Macaca mulatta: one gene and its partners. The protein of the gene in region 2 binds, or shares a complex with, the protein of the main gene of each other region. Links are inferred from orthologs where the notes say so. Each region holds a gene or a part of one and is shown on either strand. Other genes may lie near its edges.

Region 1 (8,153 bases), on a different chromosome or scaffold from region 2:
CTCCCAGTCCTCCCAGGGGCCCCAAAGGATGGCTCTCCATGCCCTGGCACTGACAGTCTCTGATCAGCAATTTCCTCAAACAAAACAAAACAAAACAAAACAAAACAAAACAAAAACATTCCAGGCCTTACACCTCTCAGGATAAGGTCCTGCCTGCCACTCAAGGAGGAAGTGACAGGCAGACCTCATTTTATCGCACTTTGCCTTGTTGTACTTTGGTTTATTACACTGCATAGATATTGCATTTGTTTTTCATGAGTTGAAGGTCTGTGGCACCCTGCATGGAGCAAGTCTATCAGTGCCAATTTTTCCAGCAGCATATGCTCACTTCCTGTCTCTATGTCGTATTTTGGTAATCCTCACAATATTTCACACTTTTTCATTTTGATTATATGTGTTATGGTGGTCTGTGATTGGTGGTCTTTGATGTTGTTATTGTAATTGCTTTGCTTTGGGGTGCCACAAATATCACCTGTATAAGATGATGAAGTTAATTAATAAATCTATGTGTTCTGACCTGTCACTGCTCAGCCGTCTCCTCCTCTCTCTCCCTCTCCTCAGGCCTCCCTATTCCGTGAGACGCAACAATATTGCAATTAGGAAAATTCATAACCCTACAATGGGCCAGGTGCCATGGCTCATGCCTGGAATCCCAACACTTTGGGAGGCCGAGGCGGGCGAATCACCTGAGGTTGGGAGTTCAAGACCAGCCTGACCAACATGGAGAAACTTGTCTCTACTAAAAATACAAAATTAGCCGGGTGTGGTGGTGCAGGCCTGTAATCTCAGCTACCCAGGAGGCTGAGGTAAAAGAATCGCTTGAACCTGGGAGGTGGAGGTTGCAGTAAGCCAAGATTGCGCCATTGCACTCCAGCCTAGACAACAAGAGTGAAACTCCATCTCAATAAAATAAAAATAAAAAAGAACCCCAAATGGCGTCTATGTGCTAAAGTGAAAGGAAGAGTTGCATGTCTCTCACTTTAAATCAAAAGCTAGAAATGATTAAGCTTGGTGAGAGAGGCAGGCCCAAAGCTAAGACAAGTTGAAAGCTAGGTCAAAAGTTAATCAAATTGTGAAGGCAGAGGAAAAGTTCTTGAAGGACATTAAAAGTGCTACTTCAGCAAACACATGAGTGATGAGAAAGTGAACCAGCCTTGCAGCTGGTGTGGAGAAAGTTTTAGTGGTCTGGATGGAGGATTGACCAGCCACAATAGTCTCTGAAGCCTATACCTCATCCAGGGCAAGGCCCTTGCTCTATTCAATTCTAAAGGCTGAGAGAAGTGAGGAAGCTGCAGAAGAAAAGTTGGAAGTAAGCAGAGGTTGGTTCATGAGGTTTAAGGAAAGAAGCCATCCCCATAACGTGAAAGTACAAGGTGAGGCAGCACGTGCTAATGGAGAAGCTGCAGCAGGTTACCCGGAAGCTCTAGCTAAGATCATTGATGAGCACGACTGCATGACAGAGCAGGTTCTCAATGTAGACGAAACAGCCTTCTATTGAGAAAAGATATCATCTAGAACTTTCATAGCTCGAGAGGAGATGTCAATGCCTGACTTCAAAGCTTCAAAGGGGCAGGCTCTCTTGTTGGGGACTAATGCAGCTGGTGACTTTCAGCTGAAGCCTTTCCTCAGTTACCATTTTGGAAATTCTAGGGCCCTTAAGAACGATGCTAAATCGACTCTGCCTGTGTTCTGTGAATGAAGCAACAAAGCTAGATGACAGCACCTCTGTTTATAGCATGGTTTACTGAATATTTTAAGCCTAGCATTGAGACTTACTGCTCAGAAAAAAATATTCCTTTGAACATTTTACTGCTCATCGTCCATACCACAGGAGCTGGGTGTTCAGGATCCTGGGCTAAAGGCCAAAAAAAAAAAAGTTTGTTTGTTTGTTTGTTTGTTTGTTTTTTTCCTGCTCATTGACAATGCACCTGTTCATCCAAGGGCTCTGATGGAGATGTAAAAAAGAGTTAATGTTGTTTTCATGCCTGCTAGCACAGCATCCATTCTGCAGCCCACGGATTAAGGAGTAACTTCAACATTCACTTCTTATTCTTCAATAAATACATTTTACAAAGGCATAAGTGCAATACAGAGTGATTCCTCAGATGGATCTGGGCAAAGTAAATTGAAAATTGTCTGGAAAAAATCATCAATCTAAATGCCATTAAGAACACTTGTGATTCACGGGAGAAGGTCAAAATATCAACATTCACAGGAGTCTGGAAGAAGTTGATTCCAACTTTCATGAATGACTTTGAGGGGTTCAAGACTTCAGTGAAGACAGCAACTGCAGATGTGGTGGAAATAGGAGGAAAACTCGAATTAGAAATGGAATATGAAGATGGGACCGAATTGCCGCAATCTCATGAGAAAGCTTGAACAGATGAGTTGCTTCTTACGGATGAGCAAAGAAAGTGGTTTCTTGAGATGGAATCTATTCCTGGTGAAGATACTGCGAACATTGTTGAAATGACAACAAAGGATTTAGACTGTTATATAAACCGAGTTGGTAAAGCAGCAGCAGGGTTGGTGGGCTTGGTTCCAATTTTGAAAGAAGTTCTAGTATGAGTAAAATGCCATCAAACAGCATTGCATGCTACAGAGAAAGCTTTCGTGAAAGGGAGAGTCCATTGCTGCAGTGGACTTCATTGTTGGACTTCATTTTAAGAAATTGCCACAGCTGCCTCAACCTTCAGTAACTGCCACCCTGATCAGTCAGCAGCCATCAACATCGAGGCAAGACCTCCACCAGCATAGAGAAGATGACTGGCAGAAGACAGATGATGTTTAGCACTTTTAGCAATAAGGTATTTTCACATTAAGGTATATACATTGTTTTTTAGATACAATGTGATTGAGTGCATACCTAATAGACTACAGCCTCGTGTGACTATAACTTGTATGTGCACTGGGAAATCAAACATTTGCATGACTTGCTTTATTGGGGTGGTCTGGAGCTGACCCATAATATCTCTGAGCTATGCCTATAGATGTCTCTTGGCGACAAAGAGAGGTGGGTGGGTCAGGACAAGGGGTAAGAATGTCATCAGCTCCTCTGCTGGAACCTCAGAGAAGAATGTCAGGATGTGGCAGGACAAATTTGGGCGTGTGGTCATTTTTTAACAACACAGAGCTGTGTTCTTTCCAGAAAAAGGAGTCTTCAGTGGTCTGGCTTGAGACCCACAGGGTTCTGCAGACGGCCTGTGCTGTGGGGTCCTAAGCCAGGTGGGGGATGGAGGACTGGTGGCACACGCCCTCCTGGGGGTGCCCAGTGGCCTTGGAGGTTTCTGAGACTCCCTTTGCTGCTGGAAGGGAGTCCGTGCTCCCAGATGCTCATGGCCTGTGCTCCTGGCCTGTGCTCCTGGCCCCCGTTCCGCAGGTGTCACATGGGGCTCCCAGGGGTCCTGGAGGGAGAGTTTGAAGGCAAGGCACGTGGGGCCAGGGTCTCCTCAGTGTGCCGGGACAGCAAGGACATGGCCCTTGGGGTGAGGAGAGCCTCTGGACTTCCAGGACATGCGTCCCCTGGGCCTTCAGGCACTGGAAGGTGGATGCTGGCCAATCCTCCAGATTCTGTGAATCCACGTTTTCTACCCACTGGTGGGATTGGGTGTGACCCCTTATTCCAGATCCCAAAAGGGTAGGAGTGCAAATCCTCCTTCTAATTCTTTCTTCATATGGGAGGCATAAATCTCATCCTGCCCCTCTCCTGCTTAAGGCCCCCATGGCTCCCAGTTGCCTTAGCATCAACTGCCGCCTGGAGCTAGACCCTGGCTCTGCTCTCCACACTCAGGTCACCCTCAGACCCCTGTGGGTTCCTGTACTGTCATGTCCTCACCTCCAGGCCATTGTCCACACTGTTCCACCCACCAGGTACACCTGCCCTGTATGGATCCACCTTGTATGGACCTGCCCTATTCTCCAGCTGCCCCTACCCCAGGCCCCGAGCTCCCTTCTGCAGAGTTGGGATCCTCGGGCTCTGCAACCAGCCTGTGCAGCTTCCAGGGGCAGAACTGTGGCTGGGAAGGTGAACCGCGCTGGTGTCCCCTCTCCCCTCTTCCTGTTGGCAGTGGAGCCCCTCCCCTCAGTCTCTGCTGAGCTTAGGCTGCCTCGACACAGGCGGCACTTCCCAGATCCCCCGTGGCTAAGTGCTGGCCCTCGGAACAGCGCAGATGCGGTGGGTGGGCTTGGTCAAAGACAACAGCGGCTCTCTGTACCCTGTCTTGCCCCTCTGCTTGCTGGTGCCAAGTTCAACCCCACAGATGAGGATAGAGCCCCAGGGACAACTCATCCCTGAGGGAAAAGAATCCCTGGTCTGCTACCCTCACCCAGACATGAGACCTGGGCTTCGAGCAGGCGGGGCCACCATGTGTGGCGTCTCTGCTGCGGCAGGTCAGCCTGTGCCCTGATGCAGAACCTTATTTGCATGGCAACCCAGCACCTTTCTGGGCCCAAAACAATCATGACAGCAATAACACTCCTATCTCCTGAATGCTGGCAGGGCTGGTGCAGGGCTGAGCTCTGCCTTCAGATTTTATCTCAGCCTTGCAACCACTGTAGGGGTTGCTTCAGGCTATTCTTACCATCCCACTTTCCAGCTAAGGAGACAGAGGCTCCCGGGTGAAGTGACTTGGGTGGGCCCCTCCACTAGGCGGACGGAGCCTCGAGCTCTGACTGTAGAGCTGCTGCTCCTCGCTATGGGTGAGCATTGCCTCCAGACTCTGGGAAACCAGAGATTAGCGAATGATTGATGAGAATGAATGAATGAATGAGTGGAAGGTGGGGAGAGAAAGAGAACACACAGGGGTCCACTCGGTACCCCAGCTCACCTGCGTCCTCCCTTGGCTGCCTGTCTCCAGACCCTGCGACTCCTCCTGGGCCAGCCACCCCTGGGCTGATAGACATTTTGTTGCTGTTGCCGATGGTGGCATCCTCGAGAAAGCATGATTTCATGTAGATTCTCTGGGCGGCATCCCCCTTGGGGTGAATTCTTGGACTGGGCATTCTTGCTTCAAACAAAGCTTCTGGGCCGGCAGCAGTGGCAGAGACTGTGGGTCAAAGGGAGACAGGCCTGGAGCCAGGAGCAGCTGGATAGTGGCCCGGAGCCCTGACCCCCAGACTGACTCACCCTCCTCCCCAGACCTCCCACCAGCGGCCCACACCATCCCAGGCGCACAGCCTGTGCCTGCCCACCACACCTCCACACGTGCTGTTGGGCTGCCTGGGAAGCGTCTTTCCACCAGCTGGTGGGTCTGCCCCACTGATCCTGCCCAGCTGATCTGGACGCCAGTGTCTTCTGGGATTCAGCTCCTCTCTCCTCTGCTGCCTGCTTCCCACTGCACTGGAACACTGGCCCCCACTTTTGGTTGAAATCTTATGGGGGCTCCCAGCCTGGCCCCAGCCCCTGTCATCTGGCTCTGCCCTTTCCCACCCAAACTTCTGAAGAACCATCCACACTGAGTCTCACCTCCTCCACTCCCCAGACCCCTTCTGCTCCCTGGTTCCCAGAAACCACCCCCGCAAGGTCACCACGACCCCTCTCGCTGAACCCCACAGATGCTTCCCTGGGCTCGCCAGCCTGGCCGCTCTCTGGTGACTCCTTTCCCGGGGCCTCTGCTTTCCTCCTCCCTCTCTGGCTTCCCTGCTGGTTCTTCTCCCCCAGCCCATCTCTGCATTCCCACTGCGGGGGAGGCCTTTGCCCGGGGCCCTCTGGTCACTGCAGCCACAGCACCTAGTAGGGCACCTGTCTTCCAACCTCCCTAAACACCATTCCAGTATCAAACCATCACCCTACTCCAGCTGGCCCAGCCTCTGCTTCTCTGCCCATTTTACAAATGGGGAAACTGAGGTTTCCTGCAGTGGGTTGTAGGGGATGGGGATCCAGAGGGCTAGCTTTATTTTATTTATTTATTTATTGAGATGGAGTCTCACTCTGTCACTCAGACTGGAGTGCAGTGGTGCGATCTCCGTTCACTGCAACCTCTGCCTCCCAGGTTGAAGCAATTCTCCTATCTCAGCCTTCTGAGTGGCTGGGATTGCAGGCACATGTCACCATGCCCAGTACTTTTTTTTTTTTTTTTTTTTTTGGTATTTTTGGTAGAGACATGGTTTCACCATATTGGTCAGGTTGGTCTCGAACTCCTCACCTCAGGTGATTCACCCACTTTGGCTTCCCAAAGTGCTAAGATTACAGGTGGGAGCCACTGTGTCCAGCCTAGAGTGCTAGCTTTAAAAACCCCACCTGCTCTGCTCTGGTTCAGCTGCCTGGTGGAAGGAAAGGAATTTCCCATCATGCTTCTCTGCCCACAAAGATTCTGGCTCCAGTTCCTTCCAGTGAGGACCCACGGGGTGACAGGGGTGGGTCTGGCCTCTAGATCCCCAGTTACCTGGAGGGCTGCCAGGGGGGCTGTGGGCAGGGCCCTCGGACAGCACGCCGTGAAGCCTCATCTCATTGCTGTGTCCCAGCTGCACCCGTCTGAGCATGGACCGCTCCATGTGGATGTCCTGGGGCCCCCAGGGATCATTCAGGGTCCCCTGAGTTGAGGAATGACCTGGTGCCATTGAAGGGAGGTGGCGGGGACCAGTAGAACCTGGCAGGGGACAGTGGCACAGCCTCACCAGAGATTACTGCAGGCTTCTTCCCCCTCCTCACCACCACCCACAGTCCTGTCCTCTGAATTCTTCCTAGACACCATCAAACTGGGGGCCAAAGACTTCAGGCTCTGGCTTAGACAGCAAGAGTACCTGGCAGAATAGCTCATTTTGGGGCTCCCTGGGTTCTCAGGACTGGGGCTGGTGCCTGGATGTTGCAGGGACACTCACAAACCCAAACAATGAGCTCCTCGTTCTGATTCTGTCATTCCCGAGCCTTCTGATCTCATAGAGACAAAGTCTCCTTTGGTGCTAACACCAAAGGCTCAGAGCCTTCTGCAGTGTTTTAACTGCCAGGGACAACATTTATTTTTATGGTGATTTTAATGGTTTTCATTTAAAATAATACTATAAAATTGTTTTAAAATAAAATTTTAAAAATGTGCACTACTCAACATTAATTAAATAATCAGACATGGGTATGGCCAGAATCGGGAATGTGGGGCTCAGAGGATTAAAGCTGGGGAAACTATGATCTAGATTCTAGAACAAAGTTCCTAGTTTCACAATTGGGGAAACTGAGGCTGACAGAGGGGAAAGGTTCTCCCAAGGTTACAGGGAGTGTCCCGACTTTGGGGCTGAAGCTGTCACTCACAGGTGACAAGGCTGGGCTGACAGGTGGCTCTGTTCCCTCTTGCCACAGTGCCCAGCACAGGGTAAGGGCTCAAAGTGCAACACCTCATTTCATCCAAACCAGGATAGCACAGGTGGTGAGATGCACCCCAGTTTCCAGCCTGTTAAAATGTGGGGGAAAGTTGCGTGTCTCAGAACAAATACTGTGCTATGATCACCTCCCCTGTGGCATTCCCCGGAGGGAGAGGAAATTGAGTCGTTTCTCATGAAAAACACCGGACCCCATTGAAAATGAGGCACAAAGTCAGGTGCAACACAGAGCTACCCCATCTTAATTTTAAAATTTTATTAAAAAATAAAAATAAAATAAAATTTTAAAATGACGTAGAAGGTATCAGAATACAGGGAAATCAGGAGAGCTTTGATCCGGGCGTCCTCATTCTCAGGACGGCCACAAAGGTGGACTGTGGGGATCTGGAAGCAACCCTTTCCCCTTGGAGGGCTGAATTCCCCCATTCCCCATCCCTACCCTTTGCCCCCACCCAGTGGATCAGGTGGCCTCCCACCGAGGTCCCCTCCCCGGGCTCTCTCGGGTAACTCACCATCCTCCCTGGAGGCTGTGTGTCTTGTAATGATGTTCCCGTGTCCAATCTGGATGGCTTCGGAGTTTGCAATGGAAATCCGGCCATTCGGTCCATTCTGGCAGATCATGTTGATTGGATTGTGCTGGTAAATAATTGAGGCCGACTCTGCTCTTCTTCCAGAACCTTCTGCAAAATAATATTCAACTCTATCCCTTCGCCCCTCTCTATGGGTCAGGGGTTCCCAATACCAGTCGGCAGCACCAAATTCTCCTGGGGAGCTTGTTAAAATACCCTGGGCGTTCCGAGTCAGTAGGGCCAAGTGGGAGGCCAGAGCTGAGTGTTTAACAG
Region 2 (8,485 bases):
CTGGCAACCACTACTACCAGGTTTGAACTGTTCCGTGGGAGGGGGTGCGCGTGTGTATAGCTTTAGGAGCCATAGCTTTCCACTCCCGAAGAGCAGCTGGGAATCAAAAGGGAAGCAATGTCTAGGAAGCAACCTGAGTGTGTGGTGGAGGCAGGTATGGGACCTCATGATCTCTAAGAACCTGAGGGCACCGTGGGGGGCCTGGTCTGTGATCTTTCACACCCACTCATCCCTTCCCAGAGCGCTGCAACTGAGTTGAGAGCCCAGAAGAAAAGGGACCACAGCCTCTATCCCCAGAGTTTAGGGTTAGGGTGGGGTCGCCATCCTAGGCTTTAAAGGAAGCACTGCCCTGAGATTAGAGTGGTCTGGGGAACCAGGCCTCTGGGATTCCTTCCTGTTGTAGCCGGCTGTGCCCTGACCTTGTGTGCCAGGCCGTTGCCCACTCCCAGCCCCCAGCATCCCCGCTTCCTGCCATAGCAGAGTTGTGGTGCCTCCCTATCCCTCACTGGCAGCTCCCACCCCCATCCCAGTCCCTCCCGGCCCCTGGCTGAGCTCAGACTTTGGCTAGCATTCCATCATGTTTATTGACTCCTGGGGGACAGATCACAAAGTCAGTTTGTGGGCAGGCCAGACTGCCCTAGAAGGAAGTCAGGGGCCTCAAGGGGTGGCGCTCTTCCTTAACTCCTAACTCTTGGAGGCAAGCTCTGAAGGTGCTTTATTTTCCACTATGATTATACCAACCATGTGGCCCGCTCCAGTTTTCAGGTTCTTCAGGGCCTTCTTGCGAACCTATTGGTGGGGGGTGCTGCCAGCCCCTCCCCGTGCCCGAAGGTGCCAGGCCCCCTGTGGGCAAGGCAGTTGTCTGTTGCATAGTCAAGTAGTTGTTGTCTCCAACTTGCACCCCAGAACAGTTGTGTAAGTTAATGAGTGGTCGCCCTTTAAGAGAAATAGTGATGGTGGCAGGAGGGTTTAGCTGTCAGAAAGGCCAAGTTGGGGGTGGGTGGGGAGTATGAGGTCTCCACCCCCAGCTTGGCCTTGAGTGGAGTGGTCACCCAAATGACTGTGTTAAGGTGTGTCCTGTGCCCTTCCCTTCAGAGTTCCTCTCCAGAACTGGCTTAGCAGAAGCTCTAGAGAGTAGCAATTGACATTTGAGACCCTGATCTTTTTTGCTGGGAAGTCCTCTGGACTGCTGAAACAATGGAACTTAGGGGGCTCACAGAGCTGATGCTGTGGAAAGTTAGAAAACTCAGGGAAAAATCCAAGCTTCGTTGTGTGACCTCAGAGGGCTCCTTTCTCAGGGGGTGTCAGTTTTCCCATTTATGAAATGAGGTTGAGTTAGATCATCTTCTCCCCTCGCCTCCAGAAAGTACCCTGAATCTAGATATAGATCTGGAGGAGGAGTCTCATGGAAGAATTGAACAGGGAAAAGAAAGAGGTGGAGAGTGGGTACCTGTTACTGGATTTGGCTCCGGGGTCCTGGAGGACCAGTTCATGCCATGTCTCTCAGCGCCCTGCAAACATCACAGAGCATCCAGTTCTGTCCTGGAGCCTGGACCGCCCAGTGCACTCCTCTCAGCCCCAAGTTTTGCCTGGCAAGGGGACAGCATTTATAGGACTCTTAGTGCATCCCCTAATCCTGCCAATGTCTCACCTGATTCCCCTGGGGTCCAGGACTTGGTGTTCCAGTTGATGTGGGGCTGGGCATCTGGTTTCTGAAAGTTGAGGTCTCTGGAGTCTGGGGAGGTTGGGCCACTGAATCTGAAGATGTCCCTGCTGTCCTGGCTTGCAGAACCTGCTCCTCTTGTGCCCTGCTCCTCTTGGTAAGGCTCGGGTATTTTTCAGGAACAGAGCTGGGAGACCCCTCTAGATTCAGTTTGTTTAGCAGCTCAGAAACCATGACATCATTACGAGAGTGTTGGTTTCCTGTGGTTCTCCTAAAGCCATCCATTTCTGTCCCTCCTTGGCCTGACTCGGGGGTAGAAAATCTCGGATTGCTGCTCCTGAGCTCAGATAGGAAATTCTTTACCTGCAGGGATGGGAGGAGTTTGCTGGGTATGACTTGGATGAGCCAGAGTAAACCCAAGGGAGTAGTCTCTTGGAACTCAGGGGTGGGCTGGGGAGGGTGAGGACAAAGGTCAAGGCATAAAAAAGCTGTGGTTAATGGTGAGTCATTGGATGGCCAGGTAGCCATGTTGTGCCATCCCTGACCAGCTCCTGGAGAGGGGTGATGTTGGCGCTCACTGTGGAGACAGCAGCATTTATATTGTTCTCCACCATCTGGAAGGCTTCATCAGTTTTTGGTAGGCATTCTAGAGGGACAGCAGAGTGGGTTGCAGGTGAGCAAATCTTCTTTTCCTGAGGAAAGCCCCATGCTGACAGACCCAAGCTTACCCCAGATCCAGCTAATTGGCCAGCTCACCCTGGAAGGAGGGTCTGTCCTTGGGCTCACTGCTCCAGCAGAGCTGCATTAGCTCCTTCAGTCCTTCTAAGCCGGGAGTCTCAGGCCCAGCTTGGGGCAGCTCAGTCAATGAGGGCCGGGTCTGCCTCCTGCACACTGCTCCACACACCAGTGATGCTTCTGTTGGCACTGGAGTAGGGGAGGAGGGTGAGAAGAGAAGGCATTCAGGGTAAAAGGGAATATCTGCTCCATCATGGAAAGAGGCAGGGAGTGTAATGTGGGAGCACAAGGATGGAGGAGGGCAGTCTTAGTAGGTGAGCAGGAAGGGGAAGCTTTGGGGCTTTCAAGAGAAGGGCACCTGGGGTTAAGGATCCCAGAATCCGCCTAGAGTCTTACACTCAGCTTCTCTTCCAGCAAGCACTGCCCACATTAGGATCCCGAAGCTGCAGGAGACACAAAGCTGAGGACCAGTCCAATCACTGGCAAGACTCCTTTCCTATACATCACCCCCTGGGAGGGCCCAGAGAAGTGTAGGAATCCCGGCTGTGTGTTTGGGCTGGGATCCTTACCTGTAGACATCACTGGCTGTGGAGGCCTTCCGGTTTACATTAACAAACAGTTCTGGGGCCAAGTAGCCCAGGGTGCCCCCTGGCTCCCTGGATGCTGTCCCTGACTGTGAGCCTCCCTGAAATGTGGACAGGCCAAAATCTGCCAGCTGCAAAGGAAGGAAAGAAGTGGGAGGTAGGGAAGACAAGGGGGCCAGGCAGCCTCCAGAAACCCCCTTGCCCCCAGAAGGTTCAGGTTCAGCTTTGTAAAGGGAGTGTGGAGGTCAAGGGAAGAGGCTCCCTTGGATAGTAGATCTAGGTGCCTGTGGTAGGGCTGGGTCAAGGTGTGAGTCTCCAGGGCTGGGTCAGCCATGACTCTTTGGAGGGGTTGGTGGGGCAGCTGGTGGAAATGACTCGTGTGGGTCGGGGCCTCTATCACCTGGTATGGCAGGAGCTAAAACTCCTGGCTGGGCTTTGTGCCCTGGCAGCCCTGTGTCCAGAGGGAGAGGCTACGCCTATTCAATAGACAGGGCTCTGGAGGTCTGGTGTCCAGTGGGCCTGGCTGGAGCTGCTCTGGGGTGGGACCTTGTCCTGAGGCTGAGAGGGGTGTAGAGCAGCTGACCTTGACGTGCAGCTCTGGGTCCAGCAGGACATTGGATGGCTTGAGGTCCCGGTGCAGGAGCACCGGGTTCTGGTTGTGCAGGTAAAACATCCCAAGCACCACTTCTTTCAGCAGGCGGCAAAGCAGCGGCCAGGGCCTAGGGCACTCGGGCTGCAGCAGCCGGGACAGGGAGCCGTTCTCCATGAATTTAGTCACCAGAGCCGGCTTGGGCACGTGGTCCCAGTTCACCTTCTCGATGACCCCTTCTAGGCGCAGCACGAATTCGTTATCCAGACTTGCCATGGCCTTGACTTCCCTGGATATCGCCTTCCTACACTCCAGGAGAGAGCTGGAGTCACCCGGGGTCGTGGGAAAAATCCCTCCATTCCCCATTCAGGCCCCAGAGCACAGTGGCTCCACCTTTTTGGCCAGATTGCGGCCGGGGGGGCAACAGGGGTCACTCACGAGTTTACAATCTTGACCGCCACATCGTAGCCCCACTTCCTATATCGCGCCCGGAACACTGTGCCGAACCCGCCTCTGCCGACGAACTCCTGGTTTTCCAGTTCCTCGATGGACACCAAGGAGGCGGAGGCACCACTGGGCCTGAGACAGGGGTGTCGCCCACTAGCCGGCAGTGCCCTACGCCAGCGCTGCTCCCCGCGCCCCTGTGACTCGGCGCTCTTACTGCAATCCCCGGCCTCTCTCGCCGGCCCCCACCGTCTCCAGACTCAAAGGCGTTCTCTGAGCGAGTCCGTGGGGCGCTCTGGGTGTGAATGTCGGAGGCTGCGATCGACATGCCACTCCCTACTCACCATAACTTGACGCACGACATCAGGCTGGAAGGTGCGAGGGGGCCTCTGGAGATTGCGAGCAGTAGGAGATGGAATGACTTCTGGGGCTGCGGTCTTTGGCAGAGAGGGGAAGGGATCTGTCTCTGCAGGGATCAGTCTCTAGACCAGGACGGTGACTCCACTTTCCGGGTTGCTACCCGTATTCTGAGTTGACTGAACAACTTCCCTTACAGGCGCCTCTACAGTCCCGCCCCTGGGGTGGGGCAGGGGGCAAAGTGAAAGCTAGTGTCTTTCTCCCTGACTAGCGTTTCCTGAGTGCCTGCCGCATGCAGCGGCCAGGTTAGGTGTGGCAATGGGTCCTCACCTTCCAGGAACCCACAATCAACCCACTCCTACAGTCAAAGCCTTCTCTTTTCCCACAGGATTTCCTGCTCCACCACCTGCCAGGCCATGAGTGGAGATGGTGCTTAGGCAGGTTTTATGGTTTTGGGGCTCAGCTCTCTCATAGCTGCCCTAAGATCATAGCCAATGCATATATAAAACTTATCATGCACCAGGTACATAGATTAGCTTATTTAATTCTCACACGAACCCTAAGGGGATAGGTACTGCTTTTATTACCTTTCTATAGATGAGGAAACTGAGACACTGAGAGTTTAAGTACCTTGCCTAAGCCCATATGGAAATAATGGCTCTGAACCATCAAGTTATCCTGTTTTCACATCATAGGTTTCAGGGCTGTTTTCACATAGGTTTCACCTGTTTTCACACAGGTTGCAGGACCACTCAGCTGGTCCTGCAGGAGGCTGGGAAAGTTGTGAAGCATCCAACGATGTAGTGAAGGATCCCTATTTGTATTCCTTGGGACTTATATGTTCATAGGGACTTACATGCCCTATGAACAGGAGCTCCTTGAGCTGGCAGACCCCAAACCCACTCCAAGGGCATTGTGGTAAGGCTAGATATACCAGCCCATCCAGCAAGTTGGTGACATTGTGGTGTACACTGCAGTGGAAACAATTCAGAGCTTTCCTGCCCTCTCCTTTGCATGACAACTCTTGCATGCAAATACCCTAATTAATGTTCCTGACAAGCACATGCTCTGGACACAGGCTTTTGATAACCCAGAAGCATGGAGAGTCTTAAAGATTTAGGGCAGAAAAAAGGTGTCCATATTTTACCTTTTGGAGGTCTGACCATGACTGGAGGTTGTGGGAACCCGATAGGGCCAGCCCTAGGCACTCAGTCCTTCACAGGGATACTCAACCCTGTGGGTTGTGTGTTGGCTTTCACTAAAAGGTGCTCACCTTGGTACTTGCTTTCCATTTTGTCCAGTGGTCCATGGGCTCTTCTGGTTGAGGCAGAAGTGATCAGCAGTTTTTTCTAGAACAACTCCTGGAGAGCTACACCATGGCTTCTGGTAGGGTCAGCTCATGCTATTTTGGAGCTATTTAGGGAATTGTTCAACTGTAGTCTCTTTAAAAGCCAATACATGGCAGATACCCAATAAATATTTGTTGAATTGAATGAATAAATGAACAACCAAAAATATTAAGCCTCTTTTAAGGCACTGATCATCCTAGATGGAGCTCCATACTCAGTAGGAGGAAAGAGGAGATCGGGTTCCTATAGGGACTGAGGGCTCTCACCTGCACAGTTCATGAAATCCGTCTGAAGTAGGCTTTAGTATAGAGATATGGTGGTATCACACAGAATCCAAGAAGGCAAGAAGTGTAGCAGGTCCTCAGAAAAGCCTAGAGTCAGAAGCTGAGAACCATCAAAAGGGGTAGCCACTCCCTTTGTGATTCTTTTTGGAGAGAATAACCCAGGCTCAGTATCTCCACTTGAAGGAAGCAGGCAAAAAGGAGTTGGAAAGGTGTTATAACCAGGTTTCTTCAGATTGGTATGAGACCCTGAGAATCAGGGATAAACTACTGTGAAGCACAAAGTTGGGTGTGGTATCAGGGCCTATACAACTTTTTGACTCAAAATAAACAGCCCCTTTAAAAGAAGGAAGAGCAGGGAGAAGAACCTTAGAGTAAGTGCCTAACAGGACCCTCAGCTTCCAGCAAGGGGGTGTGGGGGTGGACCTAGGCACAGGTTGATTCTTGGAATTTGGAAACTCAGAGTTTGGAATAATCAGATAAAGAAACTAAAGAAGCTATTGTAAAATGTTTAAAGAAATAAAAAATAGAGTAGAGAAATAAAAGAGCAAGGCATTAGAGATCATAAACAATGTCCAGATATATTTACAAAAAATAAAACATCAAGAAATAAAAAATGTATGTAACCATTAAAATTGAAATTGTAGATTTTGGTTAAACAGAAGATATAGCTGAAGAACGAATTAGTGTACTGAAAGATGAATCTGCAGACATTCTCCAGAATGCAGCAAAGATGAGCAAATAGAAAAGTTAAGAGACAAAGAATGAGTAGGTCTAACATGTTAAATTGGAATCCCATGAGAAGAGAAGTGAAAAATTAAAAATGGGGCAAGGCAATATTTAAGGAAAAAATGACTGACAATTTTCAATAACTGATGAAAGACAAGGATCCATCTGGGCACAGTGGCTGACACCTGTAATTCCAGTGCTTTGGGAGGCCACGGTGGGAGGATAACTGGAGGACAGGAGTTCAAGACCAGCTTGAGCAACATAGTGAGACCCCATCTCTACAACATAAAAATTAAAATAAAAGGTTGCCAGTTCTGGTAATCTTAGCTACTTGGGAGGCTGAGCTGGGTTAGGGTTAGGGTTAGGGTTAGGGTTAGGGTTAGGGTTAGAGCTTGAGCTCAGGAGTTGGAGGTTATGGTAAGTTATGATTGCACCATTGCACTCCAGTCTGGGCAACAGAGCAAGACCCTGTTTCTAAATAAATAAATGAGCAAATATAAAAAGTCAAATATACACAAATATAGTTGTGCCAAAAAGGATAAATATAAAGAAATTCACTCTAGTTATACCTCAGTGAAACTGCAGAACAGTGAACACAAATAAACAACATTAAAGGTTAAAAAGAAAGCATAGATCATCTACAAAGCAGCAGTAACTAAACTGGAAATACACTTCTCAACAGCCAAGTAAAAACCAGAAGACGTTGAAATAATTTAAGGTGCTCAAAGACAGGAAAAGTGTTCCTGAAAAAGATAACTTTGGTGTGTATACAATTTTATATTTACAGACAGGTAAAAAAAGAAAAAAAGACATTTTCAAATAAATGAAAACTGAGTTTACTACGAACAGTCACTTTCCTAAAGAAGTTTCTAATGGATGTGCACAAAGAAGATTTAAAAAAAAATTATCCCAGAATGAACGCATGAGACACAGGAAGAAACAGCAATTTCCCAGTAAGTTTAACCATGAAACTAATTAACATCATGTCAGACCCTTAGAAATGAGAGACAGTGGCTCACTAATTTTTCTTTTCTTTTCTTTTCTTTTTTTTTTTTTTTTTGAGATGGAGTTTCGCTCTTGTTGCCCAGGCTGGAGTGCAACGGCGCAATCTCGGCTCTCTGCAACCTCTGCCTCCCGGGTTCAAGCCAATCTCCTGTCTTAGCCTCCCGAGTAGCTGAGATGACAGGCGCCTGCCATCACATCCAGCTAATTTTTTTGTATTTTTAGTAGAGACGGGGTTTCACCACGTTGGCCAGGCTGGTCTCGAACTCCTGACCTCAGGTGAACCGCCCACCTTGGCCTCCCAAAATGCTGGGACTAATTTTTTTTGTCGTTGTTGTTTTTGTTTTTTGTTTTGTTTTTTTGTTTTTTTTTTTTTTTTTGAGACGGAATTTGCCTCTTGTTGCTCAGGCTGGAGTGCAATGACACAATCTCGGCTCTCTGCAACCTCTGCCTCCCAGGTTTAAGCTATTCTCCTGCCTCAGCCTCCCTAGTAGCTGGGATTACAAGCATGTGCCACCAGGCTCAGCAAATTTTGTATTTTTAGTAGAGACAGGGTTTCTCCATGCTGATCAAGCTGGTCTCAAATTCCCGACCTCAGGCGATCCGCCCACCTTGGCCTCCCAAAGCGCTGGGATTACAGGCGTGAGCCACCGCGCCTGGCCGGGACTAATTTTTTAAAAAAGATCTGCTACCAGTAATTCCACTCCTGAGTATATCCTAAAATAATTGAGGCCGGCCCCAGTGGCTCATGC
Region 3 (7,744 bases), on a different chromosome or scaffold from region 2:
TTCAGAAAGGTATGCAGATAAAGTCTCTTCTATGTTCACAGCATTGGCGAGAAAACAGCATCAAGGAGGCCAAGGGAATCAACCTACCATTCTACCACATCACATCAGCCATACTTCATCTCACACACAGTGGTACCAATATTTGTGGACAAGCTTGTCTGCCCACTATAAATCTCTCATTTGCCTTAATAATCAGGTGGACATTGTTACTGATTATCTCATTTATCATTTTCAGCATTTTATTTTAATCTTGCAGGACTTCTGTAGACTGTGATCACATTTTCTCTTTGCTTCCTTTTTCTATGCTTATGAATCCTTGTATTTTCTCATCTTGCTTCATACAAAAGCTTCTCCTCTCTACTAATTATTGCCTCTGTCTTCATTAAAGATTCTCCAGGTATCTTCTACCTTCCATGGGGTGAGGTTGTGAGTAGAAGAGCATATAGCACTCTACATGCAGACATGCCATGGCAACAGAGAAGGATCACTTAACCAAGAATGATAGTAACTGTTCAAAAAAATGAAACAAAAGTTTTTCATACAATAATAGAAATAGCATGGACACACAAAAATTTCCTACATTCAAAAGAGGCCTAAGTATGTCCACGGATGGAATTTGAGAGCGATGAAGGAACTCAGTTGCCTTCTTGTAGAGCATGCAGGAAGCATACTTTGTGTTTTGTTGTTGTTGTTGTTGTTGTTTGAGACAGGGTCTCACTATTGTTGCCCAGGCAGGGGTGCAGAGGCATGATCTCAGCTTACTGCAACCTCTGCCTCCCGGGTTCAAGTGATTCTCGTGCCTCAGCCTCCTGAGTAGCTGGCATTACAGACGCCTGCCACCATGCCTGGCTAATTTTTGTATTTGTAGTAGAGACAAAGTTTCACCATGTTGACCAGGCGGATCTCGAACTCTTGACCTCAAGTGATCCACCTGCCTTGGCCTCCCAAAGTGCTGGGATTAAAGGTGTGAGCCACTGCACCTGGCCCAAAAGCATACTTTGAATTCTACAACTGTTACATTTGGAGACTCTCATTTGGGACAGCCTCTGGATGATCTACTCCTGAGTCTCCAAGTTAGTCCCAAACTGGATCTTTTTTAGCTAAGTAGAATAACAAAATCCCAGAATCATTAGAACAGCAAAATGGGGAGAAGATTGTAGAAGGGGAAATTTTGTGCTATCCTGGTCAAAGAGAAGAATTAATTCTTGATTTATTGCCAAAATAGAAGATATTTCTAAATATCTCAGCCTATGTTTGCCAATAGATTCCTGTCTCATCCCAGATAAGAAACACAGGGCAGCTGGTTACATGGAAGTAACATGGGTAGTTACCGCCATCTAAGGGCCATCTTAAAGAACTACACCTTCTAACTTAAAGCCTGGGAAAACAACCACTCCTTTCTCATTAGTGCCTTAGAAACTACCTCACAGTTTACATCTGTATAGAATTATGGACCTACATAGTATCACTTATGTGGCTTCATTTAACCTTCTTATAAACCATGTGTGAGAAGCCATGTCACCGTGTTGTACACCCACAAATGCTATTAAAAGCTGTTGTAATCTTTGCTGTTACGGTTTTACTTTGAATCCTAAAACTGTTGCATTTGGAGACTCTCATTTGGGACAGTCCTGGAGTGATATGCTCCTTTGTTAGCTCTTTTTTGTTCTTCAGACATGAAGCCGGGACGTATCAATTGTTCTTGGTAAACAAAATCAGGAATTTAAACTAAATGTATATAATTCAGATGGAGATGATGAGTGATTTATTGAATAATGTTAAAAAAGTCTTTTTGCTGTGGGTAATTTATACTGTCACTGGAGATAGAGAGGAGAGAGAATCCCTGAAGGAGGATTCTCCCTCCCTGAAGAAGGAGGAGATCATCCCCTAAAGAAAGCAGCATAGTCTGGGACCATAGAAAGATAGGGACATGGAGAGAAATAAACAGACTGTGTGAAGGAAAAAAAGGTGCTCAATATCCTGGTTTACAATTTTCCAATGCAATAATTTATATTTTTGAGACTTCAGTAGAATGTGAGAGCATTACATACTGTGGAAATGGAGTTGGGAAAAGTTAACTTTGAAATTCTACATCCATATTCACTGTAATTGAACTGGAGACAAAGATGGGCAAGGAGAAAAGATGATAAATGGAAGTGGTCACCCTAAAGGCTGGAACAAGAGATGCAAACCAAGGCTGGAATGGATTTGTGGAATTTGTAACAAACACTTCCTACAAGTGATTCTCAGTAAAAGGGGGCAAAGAGACAGGTGCACTAAGTTAGCAAACAAATTCCAACAGTGTGCACTGGGGGTCATATCCCAGGGACGCCATGAAAGGAAAGGCCCAGGCTTGGCAGAGAAAGGGACTGGGCAGGTGCGGGACTACCACATTACCTTTCTCCTTCTCTTCCTGAAGACGTTTTGCCAAAAGCATATAATTCAACTTCTGAAAAATAAGAATGGTCTTCTTCACTGCAGTCACTGCACCAGCATTTTGAATCATCAAGTTAGCTACTTGTATTCTGTTTGCAGTACGTAGTTTGCCTGTGGCGACATTAAACTCGTCTGAAAGAAAGAACTTAAACCTATCCAGTTCCTCATCAGTGATGTTATCCAGGCCTGTTAGCAAGAGTATCTCCTTGTATTTACTCTCCATCTGACGACTTTGGGATCAACCTATAAGGAATCCAAAGCATGTAAGATTACAACACCAAAAGGGATTCTACATTCAAAATAAAGCAAGGTGAGCTATTAATATTTTTAAAGAAAAATAAACAAAATGTTTGCAGTAGTAAAAGAGATTTGAATGGGACATAGGTAAGAACTTCTTAAGCAAGGTGATCCCTATTCCTGGGAAAGACATCTTCAGAAAGTATACAACACCTCTGGAATTCTTAGAAAACAGGATACATCAGCTGGGCATGGTAGCTCACGCCTGTAATCCCAGCACTTTGGAAGGCCAAAGCGGGCGGATCACCTGAGGTCAGGAGTTTGAGACCAGCCTGGCCAATATGGCAAAACCCCATCTCTACTAAAAATACAAAAATTAGCCGGGCGTGGTGGTGGGGGCCTGTAATCCCAACTACTCAGGAGGCTGAGGCAGGAGAATCACTTGAACCAGGGGGCGGAGGTCACAGTGAGCCAAGATCGCGCCATTGCACTCCAGCTTGGGCGACAAGAGCAAAACTTTGTCTCAAAACAAACAAACAAACAAACAAAAAAAAAAAACACTACAACAAAAAGGAAACAGGATACATTTTCCTTTTATTTTTAAAATAGATTTATCGAGGCATAACTGGCATACAACACAGTGCATATATTGGAAGTATACAATCTGATAAATTTTGGCATATACATATACCTGATGAAGTGCAATTAATCAATTTGTTCTTTCATGGATCATGCTTTCACTGTCTTATTTAAGAAATCTTTTCCAATCTCAAGATGAGAAGATTTTATGTTTTCCTCTAAAAATATTATGGTTTAATCATTTTATTTGGGTGTATGTACCGTTTTGAGTTATTTTGTATATAGTATAAGCAATGACTCAAAGTTCATTTATTTTTCATATGAATATGAAATTTCCCAGAACCGTATATTAAAAAGACTATCCTTTTTAACGATTTTTTTTACCTTTGCAAAAATCAGTTGTCCAAATATGAGTGAGTCTATTTCTGGATTCTTTATTCTGTCCATCAACCTATTTTTGTATCTTGTTGCCAAAATCACATTGTAGTAATATAGTTGTTTATGTATAGTATCCAAAATAATACACAAAACATTATAAATAATAATTCAAAAGTTTGTAACTATAAGATTAATATGCAGAAATGCATTCCTTTATTCTAGCACCACTCCAAGAGTGAAAAAAATCACGTAAAAAAGTAATTTCCAATAGCAACAAAACTACAAAGTACATAAGAACATCTAATACAATATATTTAAGAGTTTTAAAGGGAACCTTATAAAACTTCATTGGGAGATTTAAAAGACCTACTTAAGTGGGTGTATGTGTGATATTTTAAATGGGAAAACTTGATAAAATGAAGACAGCAATGTTGTCAAATTAATCTATAAACTCCCATCCAAAATCTCAAAGGGTTTTTCATAGAACTTATCAGAATGATATTAAAACCTAAATGAAAAAAATAAAGACAAAAACCTGCAAAACATGTTGAATTGTTTATTAGGATGTAGTATCCCTACTACTAGGTATCAATACTTACTACAAATGTATAATAATTAAATCGATATGGCAGTTGCATAGAGAAAAATGAACTAATAAATAGAGTGTGGAAACAGGACCACATGTAAGTTAAAGCATGGTACATAATCAAAGTGGCGTTAAAAATCACAAGGAAAGAATGGCCAACTATAAAAAGTATTCAGTCAAATGATAATATTCGGGGAATGATATATTTGGCCTTTCTCTTATATCATACACAAATATATATCTGGCTGGATTAATTATCTAAACAGAATAGTAATGATGTTGAATAAAACACAGAATTTCTCAATACATTGAAGTAGAAGGAGGTTTCTTAAACAAGGCACAAAAAGGACAAGCCAGAAAAAAAAACAAACTTTGTCAAATGTGATTGCATGCATATTCTTAATTTCTTTGTAGGAAACACACACACACGTGCACACACACACACTAAACAAAGTGTTTATATAAGGCAAAAACTGGGCAGATACCTGAAATATACATATATATATATATAGCTAATAGAAGTTTTGCTTTTGGAATACATGGAGAACCATGTATCACTAAGAAAACAATAAACAGTCTATTTGAAAAGTGTGCAAAAGATGTGAATGAGCAATTTGCTCAAGTATCCAATAAACATAAAAAAGATGTTTGACATTATTAGCAATTAATGACTTCCAGAGCAGCAACATATAAAGTGGAAGAAATAAGCCGAAGAACAGGAAAAGATGTCTATGAGCTGAAAATAACTGATTGTGAATTTTAGGGAAGCTTGAATACCACCATCAGTAGAGTCAATGTTAATAAATTCTAAACTATCACTGTTAATGGCCTCATAATGTTTTTCCTTATATGCTGGTAAGGGCTGGACAAACTCTACTTATACATGTAGAGTTCATGAGTGAAAATTAAAACTATTATCAGGACCATTTTCAAAATAATAAATACATTAAAAATATTTGTAATGATAAAGCCATCCAAATGCCCCCGTCCTACTGATGAAAGCAAGGAAGGACACTACCTTTGCTGACTATCTACAATCAGCTTGGCATGATTCCTGCTTTCCTACTTGTCTATAAGAAACTAATCTTCCTATAAGCCTCTTATATAATAACAATCACATTTTAATCACATTTTAATAAGATTGACTCATCATTTTCTCTGAAGTTACGTTGTCTTATAAATGAAAAACTTGCATTTTACTTCATAATATCTGTTAACTTAAAAAATGCTTGTATTTGCTATTGGCATAAAAGTCAGTCTTACAAACAGGCTGATAGATAAACCCCAACGGGATCTGAAGCTTAAGGAACACCAGCTCAGAGACACCAGAGGACATGGCTAAAGTGAGTAAAAGATAAATGAACCCATCCTTTCAGAGCTCATGTCCATTTTCCCAGGTTCAAGTTCTCAGAGGGGTGCATAGCATGGCTGGCATTTCCTCAGTTGTCTTTTTCAGCGGAGAAACGGTTCAGTCTCTCCTCTCTAACCCAGCTCCTCCATGGTGCTTACCTCCTGATCCCTGGGGCGATCAGCAAACCGGGTCTGCCACCTTCTCTTCAGAGAGCTTAACTAACAGAGGGCTCAGGAGAGCATGCCCAAATAACCTACGTGACTTTCAAAGCCACAAAGACTCTGACACTTCTGAACAGCTTCACACGTACCCCTAATAAACACTTCCTGTCACCCGCAGGCCCAGTGTGGGTAGGAGTGACAACTGGAGCTCTCATTGGCTGAGCTGGTTTGGGTTCTCACTAGCAGCCACAGAAGAAAATTTCTATAGAAACTTGTATCTGAGTCATGCCACATAGTTACACTGATTGGAAACAGAAAGTGGCTAGGAAACTGTAAAAAATGACCGAAGATGACTTAGTGATACGCTTTGTGACTAAGGGGCCTGGTGATGACATTTTTTTCTGGTATAAACAAGCACACTGATCTCAGAGGGTATCTACAAGCATTGCCAGTATGCCAGTGCAGCTTCTTGTCTTCAAAGCATAAGAGAATCTGGAAATGAGACCAAAGTGAAAGTATAGACATTCTATTGTGGAGCAAAAGCAAGGATACCCTCAAGGGACGAGTGCAGGCACTCAAAGATTGAGTCACAGGCAATGCGGTTCATGTACTACATGAATAAGCACAATGAAGGTATGGGGTACTCTATGATAAAAAGGAAGGCTTTTCTGGGAAATGGGCGGGCAATTCCCAGAATCGGGGTGCCACCCTTTTCTTGACTAAAGATGGTTAATCCAGAACTGTCATGGCGTCAGGTGCATGATGGGAGTGGGAATTCCCCCATGGAAGTTTTATGATATTAAGGCACAATGAAGCTAAGGGTCAGCAGTCAGCCAAGTTTTCGACCATCTTGGCTTTAACCAGTTGCAGCCGGTTTCTTCTGTGTTACATTCTCATCTGTGCCTAAGTAGGAAGTTTGCAATCTGTCTTCGTTGTCATAGCCTGTTGTAACAGTTCCTGTCTACTAGTGGGGCAGTCCCTCTGCTAACCATTTTGACCCCATTTTTATTGCTTGTAGCCACATGCAAGTAATCGTGCCTCATTCCCTCACTGACTGCTTGCCTCAAAAGCATATATACAGTCTTTCTTCCTAACCAGGCTCCTAACCCTAAACTCAGAGCTTGAGGGCTTGATTCTAGTCTGCAATTTACTTGAGGTTTTCCTTTTTTATTCATTGAATTAACAATTATGCACTGAACATCTAATACGATGTATTAGATTCTGAGAATATAAAAGTTAGTAAGACAAAGTTCCAGATGTTCAGCAGCTCTGCCAAGTCATGGAAACAGACATGTAATTTAATAATCACAATAGGACATAATGATAAGTGTTATAATTAAAGCATGCTCAAGATGCGATGGGAGCAGAGGAAGAGCACCTAACCATGCCCACGTAATCAGCCCAGAGCTGCAGGACCTCCTTCACTTTCTGCTGCAAGGCTTATTTCTACACTTTTGCCAGCTGTCAGCTCAAATAGCACCTTATCTGTGGGGCTTCTCTGACCAGCATGTTCTCTACCTCTTCACCGCATTATTTTTTCCCACACGTGTTACTGACCACCATCTGACATACCGCATATGTCATTTGTTTGTTTATTCTCTGGCTCATGCTCCTAAAATGTAACACACATGAGGGAAGAGATTTCTGCCCACTGGCTCACTGCATCCACTTCACCTGATACAGTGCCAGGCATAGAGAAAGTGTTCAAAAAATATTTGTTGAATGAGTGAATGCATGAGTGAGTGGATCACACAAGGCAAAAGAACACCAAAGAGAACAATATGTAAGAATTAAAAAAGCCTGCGAAGTGTATGAATTTGGTAACCTACTGAGTAAATGAGAAAAAGCTCCCTGTTGAGGGAGAACCCAACAAGCACCACCCCGGAGAGGCATAGTGATTTGAGGCTTCAAGTCCTGTAAAAGGTGAGTTAAGTGATTAAACTGGGGAGTGGTCTCAATGAGGAGCAGGTACACTGCTGCACCCAGGGCAGACAGACAAGTGCTCATCCTTCAGCT

The links. The genes of interacting proteins can lie anywhere in the genome.
Region 1: RIPK3 (region 2) and ZBP1 share a complex: the UniProt entries of both Homo sapiens proteins name them as parts of the AIM2 PANoptosome complex. The link is inferred for Macaca mulatta from reciprocal best matches to the Homo sapiens genes RIPK3 and ZBP1.
Region 3: RIPK3 (region 2) and AIM2 share a complex: the UniProt entries of both Homo sapiens proteins name them as parts of the AIM2 PANoptosome complex. The link is inferred for Macaca mulatta from reciprocal best matches to the Homo sapiens genes RIPK3 and AIM2.

The regions. Positions count from the first base shown.
Region 1 is NC_133415.1:110,407,555-110,415,707, forward strand, and holds the end of ZBP1 (Z-DNA-binding protein 1), read right to left. Parts: intron 7,992-8,153; coding exon 7,824-7,991; intron 6,588-7,823; coding exon 6,384-6,587; intron 5,046-6,383; coding exon 4,827-5,045; intron 3,405-4,826; coding exon of another isoform or gene 3,334-3,404; exon of another isoform or gene 2,288-3,333; coding exon 2,040-2,287; 3' UTR 1,878-2,039; downstream 1-1,877.
Region 2 is NC_133412.1:97,454,558-97,463,042, forward strand, and holds RIPK3 (receptor-interacting serine/threonine-protein kinase 3), read right to left. Parts: upstream 4,599-8,485; 5' UTR 4,380-4,598; coding exon 4,360-4,379; intron 4,151-4,359; coding exon 4,010-4,150; intron 3,876-4,009; coding exon 3,566-3,875; intron 3,114-3,565; coding exon 2,968-3,113; intron 2,842-2,967; coding exon 2,795-2,841; intron 2,588-2,794; coding exon 2,420-2,587; intron 2,310-2,419; coding exon 2,242-2,309; intron 2,027-2,241; coding exon 1,652-2,026; intron 1,512-1,651; coding exon 1,451-1,511; intron 937-1,450; coding exon 716-936; 3' UTR 566-715; downstream 1-565. UniProt on the Homo sapiens protein: Serine/threonine-protein kinase that activates necroptosis and apoptosis, two parallel forms of cell death. Necroptosis, a programmed cell death process in response to death-inducing TNF-alpha family members, is triggered by RIPK3 following activation by ZBP1.
Region 3 is NC_133406.1:107,848,526-107,856,269, reverse strand, and holds part of AIM2 (interferon-inducible protein AIM2), read right to left. Parts: intron 5,860-7,744; exon of another isoform or gene 5,726-5,859; intron 2,680-5,725; 5' UTR 2,660-2,679; coding exon 2,398-2,659; intron 509-2,397; exon of another isoform or gene 1-508. UniProt on the Homo sapiens protein: Sensor component of the AIM2 inflammasome, which mediates inflammasome activation in response to the presence of double-stranded DNA (dsDNA) in the cytosol, leading to subsequent pyroptosis.